2 linked regions of the Oryctolagus cuniculus genome follow. The protein of the gene in region 2 interacts with the protein of the main gene of each other region in a pairwise test. Links are inferred from orthologs where the notes say so. Each region holds a gene or a part of one and is shown on either strand. Other genes may lie near its edges.

Region 1 (3,137 bases), on a different chromosome or scaffold from region 2:
GACTGATTTCTAATAATCTTCTTTCTCCTATCTATTAATATTCAGTAATACTAATAGCTATGGCTTAACTGGAAAGAAAAAACTCACTCCTTGTTCACCTTCTTAATTACTCCTTCTGTATTTTTCAAACCTTCCAACAGAAGTAAAAAGTCACAGGTCCCACCACACAGTGGGGTGCATGGGTTCACAATGATACATTGTATCCTGTAGAAAGAACTAAGAGAGGAGCTGGCAGGTTCCAGACATGAAGGCAGGGAAATGAAAAGGCTAATTGCCTTGTTTGATCGGCTGGCTCTATACATATATGGGTTGCAATTTTGCACTCTACCCCATGAAAATGTATGCATTTTACACCCCAAAATGTGCTTTTGAATGCAGTTCCCTGGATCTATTTCTCCCACAGGTTTATCACATTTCCAGAAACACGTGGTTCAAAATGGAGACCAGGATGATCAAGAACGTGTGTGCCCCGGCAGTGGTGCTGGGGGAGCGGATCGTCATTGTGGGAGGTGAGTGTGAACAGACAGCCGGGCGACTCCTGGGACAATGGCTCTCTGACAGACAGGTGCACAGCCAACCCGAGAAAGCCCTCTCCTTACCCAGAACCATCTCCCTGTCTTTCTGTACAGAAGGGACAAAGTCATGCCTACTTCCTAGAGTTATGACAATAAAGCATACTGCTGTGGCTCGAGCTCTTAGCATACCGCAGACACACAGCAACAGAAAACTATCTGCTGTTGTTGCTAACACTGGCCACTGACAGATCTGTAACATCAGCTACCAATACTAATAATACTGGCTACGAACACACTGGTACCGTTGGCTATCAGGATCAATAACACTGACTACTACTGGATTTCTCTGTAACTGCAACACAGTGCTGTGGTTTAAAGGACTGGTTTTGGCATCAGATAGATCTGGGTTCAATTCCTGACTCTTCCACTAACTGGCTATATGCTCTTTGGCACGTTACTAGGCTTTCTTTGCCTCAGTTTGCCATCAGTAAAATGGGGGTCCTCTAAGTACCCACCAGATAGGGCTACTGTGGCCACCTATTTCTGATTTCCAAAAGGAAGACTTCTTCCTCTGGGTTGTTCCAGCTTTTGGACAGGAGTATGAGAGGGAGAAAAACCAGTGAGGCTGAGAAAGCTACTAGAACTGAGAGGTCGCTCCTAATCTAAAGGTGGTTGATATGTGGCCTTAACTTGGGGTGAAGGATGCAGGAGCCAGGCTCAGCCAGATCTGGGCCCCAACCCCAGCTTTGCCACATACCACGCCATGGCAGCGTAGCTCAGCGGCCCACGCTGTAGCTGAGGATTGCCGCAGCCTCAGGGCAGGGCAGGGGAGGGAGCTGGCTGCATCCCAGTTGGATGTGGAGGGGACTGGGAAGTAGAAGGGACCAGCTAACCTCCCAGCCCAGACGAGCAACACTGAACTGCCCGTGCGCCGTTGCGTTTTCAGGCTACACAAGGAGGATTCTTGCTTATGACCCTCAGTCTAACAAATTCGCCAAATGCGCGGACATGAAAGACCGGAGGATGCACCACGGGGCCACGGTGATGGGGAACAAGCTGTACGTGACGGGCGGGCGGCGGCTGACCAGCGACTGCAACATCGAGGACTCCGCCTCCTTTGACTGCTACGATCCCGAAACAGACACGTGGACGTCCCAGGGACAGCTGCCTCACACACTCTTTGACCACGCCTGCCTCACTCTGCAGTGCCTGCCCCACACAGCCTCCAGAAGCCTCCTGTCTTAGTCAAGATGCTTCCTGTCGCAAGGGACAGAAACCCAGCTCCACAGGGCTTCGCCCTACAGGGATTCAGGGAGAGTCCACAGGACTAGACCTGGAGCCCCGGACCCACACATACTGATGCCACAGACACACACCTCGCCTGGGCCCCGCTTCTTCCTTAGTCTGCCTCCTCTCCTTCTGCCTCTATTTCTCTCTCTCTGAGCCTGTCTCTGCCTTCCCCTCTCTCTGCCTCTTTGTCTCTGCCTCTTTGTCTCTGCCTCCCCACCTTCTCTCCATTAGGCTTCAGTCTCTAACAAGCATCTTCACCCACACAGTGTGCGGACAACGACCCCTGGGAAATCCAGATTGACGTGCTGTAGCTTTGCATCTTCAGGAGCAAACTTGACCCTTACCCACATAGTCACAAAAAATAAACAAATAATGCCGACGGGCCCTTTCTGAACCCCATCCCTACCTCTGGAGCCAACACTGTGGCCAGTTATTTTCCCACTGTAAGATGGGTCCCGGACCACATCCCCCTGGGCAGAGATGTGTGAACTGTTGTGGATAACGGCCCATCTGAACTGCAGGTAATGGGATAGCAGCAGTTCCCCAAACCAAGAAATTCTGGGCTAACAAGAAACGTATCTGCCCAGGGCTCCACTGCTAAGGATCCCTGGGAGCGCTTAGGACAGGTGGCAGCGTGAGAAATGGCCGTGGCTGTATCTCGCCACGTTCTGTGGATGGACTACCTTGCAATGCCAGGAAACGTGCACTGAACATTGAGAATCTAGTGTTTAGAAAGCAGTCCTGCCCTGCCAGAATAAAGATTGCTTCTGGTGCCAAACGATGTTTTCCTCCAGCCTCTGGGGAACCATAAACCTGCAGAATTAATCAGGATTTTCATTTTGGTAAATGTTATGAGAATTGCTCTTCAGGGGAAAGCGAACAGATTCCTCAGAAATTGCAGCAAGCATTGCCCTCCAGGCGCCAGCCCTGACTGTCCCCAGAGCCCCCTTTCCCCTCAAGCCCCTCCCAAACTGGGGAGTCAGCACTACCCACAGGTACCATCACCTGGAAAGAGGTTTGAACAGGGGGCCAAGCTCCCCTGCAAACAGATGCATGGGGAGTCTCACAGGTGGGGCCCAGGACTCTGCATTTTGGGACTGCTTCCCCAGATGATGGTAATGTGCCATCAGGGTAGAGTCACCATCCTGGTCAGCTGGGGCACTGAGAACCTTCCTCGCTGGTACCACTCCCATCCCGCCTTGGCCATGCCCAGCAGTGTAGGCCAAGTCCTTGCCCATGGACAGCAGCACGTGGCATGGGTCTTGCCGCCCAGAGTGGCCCCCACAATGCTGCCTGCCTCCCCACCCAGCTCTCCAGGTCTGTGCTGTGCTC
Region 2 (4,167 bases):
GCCCTTGAGTGTCTTTTGGGGTGATGAAAATGTTTTGGAATTAGGTCTTGGTGACAGCTGCACAGTTTTATGATTATACTGAAAACTATTCAATTGTTCATGGTAAATTTAATGGTAAGTGAATTGTAATGTCAATAACAATTTCTAAAAAGAGGGGACTTCACAGAGACCAGTAATGAAAATATACCATGAACCCAAGAATGGCATTTGGACCTCTGGGCCTGGAGCCTAGGGAGAAAGGCAGATAAAATTGAGTTTGAGCAAATGTGTGGGAAAGATGTCTCTCATCCATTACTGGTGTCAGTATGAACTGGCACATTTATTTGAGTAGGCAATTTAGTGGCATCTATCAAAAAAGATAAAGCACATACCCTATGATCCAGCCCTCTCATTTCTAGAAACTTAAAATCGGTGTGTGGCTGGCACCATTAGCACTCAGTAAACGTTCTTTCCTATTATGAAGACGATCATCATGGGGAGAGATCATGGATTATGCAATCGGCTCGAGCAGCCAAACTCAGCCTTCAGTTCTTTTTGGAAAAGTAATACTGCAGCCTTCATACCGTCATGCGGCGTGGTCATGAACACTTTGCTCTTTTAACCTTTGCAAGCTGCATCAAGTGGAAACGAAATTCACCCCATTAGGGTCTTGTTTCCAGGTATCTGGAGCACACTGCTAGCACAAAAGTATAAAGCTCATGTAGCATTATAACTTCTTGATTAACAGGACCTAGAGGACTGATAGTAGGGTGGGGGAAAGGAAGTAAAGCCTAAGACTTGGTCAAACCCCTTGAAGCTGCAGAATTGGCAAAAAACATTCGGAGGTTTCTGCGAAGCCTCATGAAACAGACCAGTCATTATGCAGTGATGGGCAAGAGCAATGACTTTCAAAAGAAGCTCCTGAAGGAAGCGGTGTCTTCTGCTCCTTTAGTTCTTTCCACAAATGGTGACACCTCCTTCCGTGCTGTCCTCCTTGTTGCTATTTGTAAACACTGTAAGGAGTTCTATCATGCAGGAAAAACCCAGGAGAGGAAAATTATGTCCATCTACTTTTCCAATTAGTCATGCCAGGCTTCTCAGTCTGGGAAGACATTCCCTGAAATCAGCTTGCCCAAACTACGGGCAAACACCAAGCAAGAAGAAATAGCTTCTGAAATCTACCCCACAACCAGGAAGGGGACCAAGGACAGCTCCCCTGGAGCTGGTCCGACGGAGGCATGAGGGGAGTATCCATCAACTCACCTGCTAACCACTCCAGGCTTCACCTGCCAGCTCCACAGCGTGGTGAGACACTGCAAGGACCCAGTGATTGTGACATCAGCAAATGGCCTCATGCACGTGCTAACCCATGAGCTTCCTGGCAGGGACACCACTGGTGAGAGCCTCCTAACAGCCAACTTCTTGCAACTCTCAGGCTGACGGCCTCACTGGGTTGGGGGAGGAGGGACACCTCCACTGAGAACTGGCAGCAGGATTCTGGTAGAGGAGACACCAAGAGCCACGGTGGGGACGTGGTAATCATGTAGGGGCCATGGAGACTGCTATGTGCGTTTGCTCGCCATGTTGTACATGGCAAAGATGTTGTCCTCAGCTATGCTCCTGTCTGTGCTGCAAGTTCATCTTCACCTCGGAGAGGAACTGCACCTGCTTCCCCTGCCCATACAAGGATGAGCGGAACTGCCAGTTCTGCCACTGCACCTGCTCCGATAACCCCAACTGCCACTGGTGCTGCTGCTCCTGGGCCAATGATCCCAACTGCAAATGCTGCTGCACGACCAGCAGCAATCTCAAGTGCTACTACTATGAGAGCCGCTGCTGTCGCAATGCCACCATCACCTTCCGCAAGGGCCGTCTCAAGAGCATCCGCACCTCGTAAGTGAAAACTGGGAACTCAGTGCCAGCTGGGGGCCCACAGGGTGGGCTGGTAACCCCTGGGTTCATTTCTCTCTGTGGGAAAAGGAAGCCAGGAATTTTGTAGCAATTGAGTATATCCTCATATACTAACCATGTAGCAATTAAGTATATCCTAGTATACTAACCAGTATAGACTCTAACTTCCAAATTGAAAATCCATAAGGTGTGAATGCTTACAGCACTCTTCTGAACCACAACTCTCTCATGGGTGCAAAGTACTCAGAGCCAATACTCAGTGCTTAAGCAACTTGCCAGGCACTGCATGGGAGACCCTGGGGAACCCTCCTCTCCCTGAGCCCACTGGACCCAGCAACAGAGCCTTTGAGAGGTGAAGCCACCTGGGTTGACACAGCTAGCATGATGCAGAGTCAGGATTTGAACCCAGAAGCCATTATTTTAAATTTCAAGTGTTGTGTTGCAAAATGGAGAGGCCCTGTGAGGACTGATGTGAAATTCATGGACAGTAGAGTTCAGACATAAGTTGATTTGGGTGCAAAGTTGTTCATGATCCGCATTTTCCATGAATTTGTTGAGGGCTCTTTGCATGTGCTTTGTAACCTGATAGGTGACATAAAAATATAAATCGCTCTTCCCCCTGCTACTGTGAACTCTTGATATATGCAATGTTTCTTGGAAAAGTAAGAATTTCCAAGGACCAGTTTTGAGCCTGATGACCTGTATTCACCTGAGTGCCCCAGACACATCTGAACTCCCGTTGGCCTCCTCGACTTTCCCATGGAGAAGTCATGGTGCTTTGGGCCTCCAGGTGCTCACTGGGGGCATTAGTCATCCCCACTAAGCACTGTATAACCTCTTCCTACTCTACCGAGTCAGTCTTCTTCTGTCCCTGTGAGAGGAGCCTGGTAAGGACAGACTTACTCAGCACTGTGAGATGAGTGGACTAGGAGAGGCTGAACAATAGGAAGCAAGTCTGAAGGCCTTCAAGGCTGCATCAGCAATTCTACCAACAAAGGTTTGGTGGACTCAGGGCAAGAATGTAAGATCCATCTTGAGATTAGGTGCTTGGTAGGGGCGTAGGAAACATGAGTTTCCGTGCACGGCCCTCTCTGGTGCTTGCGGGAATCCAGGGACTCTAGTGGCAAGTCCAGAGGTTCCAAGGTGTGGAAAGCAGTGGCCACACCCCTCTCTCTGGACACGCCCGTTCTCCAAGCACCAGCCACGGAGAGCCACAGAGCCCATTCCAGGAGGGATGAAACTGCTGCTTTGGGAAAGTGGCTTTGGCATCAGTGGTTCCCAAATTTCTATGCATTTGCAATCATGCAGGGATCTTTAAAAATACCTAAGCCTGGTCCACTGCCTCCCCAAAACTCTGAATGTTATTGGCCTGGGGTACCACCTGGGCATCAGAATTGTATAAGGCCCATCCTGTTCAGGTGATTCCAATGTGCAGAATGGCCTGCGGGAGCAGGAAGGGAAGCTAGGAGACTTGCCAGGAGAGACAGTGAGAATCCAGGGGCAAGGGGACCAGGCCTGAACTGGGGAGAGTGAGGAGAAAGGACCAGAGGCAGATAGTTTAGCAGGAAGACCAGGCTGCTGGGCCTGGCAGCTGGGCATGGATCCCTGGCTACTGAACACCTTGTCCACACCTGAGGCTTCTGCAGGCTGGGCAGGGATGCACTTGACAGCTTCAGGAGGCATTGTGCCTGTCTTCTCCCTGGCCCCTCCCCTGGGTCCTGAAGCCCTGCCTCCCTGCTGCTCATCACCGCCTCCTGCTGAGCAGTTACAGCCACTCACCTCTCTCTGCTCTCGCCTGTCCCGCTCAGCCATACTCATTTCCTCACCTCCATTCCTACCGCTGCCACAGCTCCCTAGGCCATTGACACCTGTCTCTGAACCCTGTGCTCATTCTCTCTCCCTTCCCCCCCACCTCCCTCCATCTCCCTGATTTCTTTGGCTGACACCTGTCATAGTACGCCCTGGTTCTCAGAGTCCCATTTTTTTTAAATCAAACTCAAGAAGTCCATCCAGCCTCCATGTGTTATCCTTTACCACTCTTGATGACTCCAGGCAGGAGGCTAGGATGGCACAGTGGAACCAGCTGAGAACATCAAGGCTGGTGGGCTACAGCCCAGCATCCAAACCCTGAGAGGTGGGCCTTCCAGGCACCCGAGGGTGACTCCATCCCTGTGTGCCCAGGAGGCCCCTCTGAGAGCCTGGACTCTGAGGCCCAGGACCCCACCCAAGGGAGTGGGGATGGAGACAGGGCCATGCTCCTACAGGGAAAGCAGAAAG

What was found. The genes of interacting proteins can lie anywhere in the genome.
Region 1: the proteins of TRIM42 (region 2) and KLHL38 interact in binary tests that used the Homo sapiens proteins (3 or more experiments, as listed by UniProt). The two-hybrid records come from large-scale screens. The link is inferred for Oryctolagus cuniculus from reciprocal best matches to the Homo sapiens genes TRIM42 and KLHL38.

What each region holds. Positions count from the first base shown.
Region 1 is NC_091437.1:149,368,210-149,371,346, reverse strand, and holds the end of KLHL38 (kelch-like protein 38), read left to right. Parts: intron 1-403; coding exon 404-509; intron 510-1,461; coding exon 1,462-1,760; 3' UTR 1,761-2,583; downstream 2,584-3,137.
Region 2 is NC_091435.1:141,105,235-141,109,401, reverse strand, and holds the start of TRIM42 (tripartite motif-containing protein 42), read left to right. Parts: upstream 1-1,342; 5' UTR 1,343-1,531; coding exon 1,532-1,872; intron 1,873-4,167.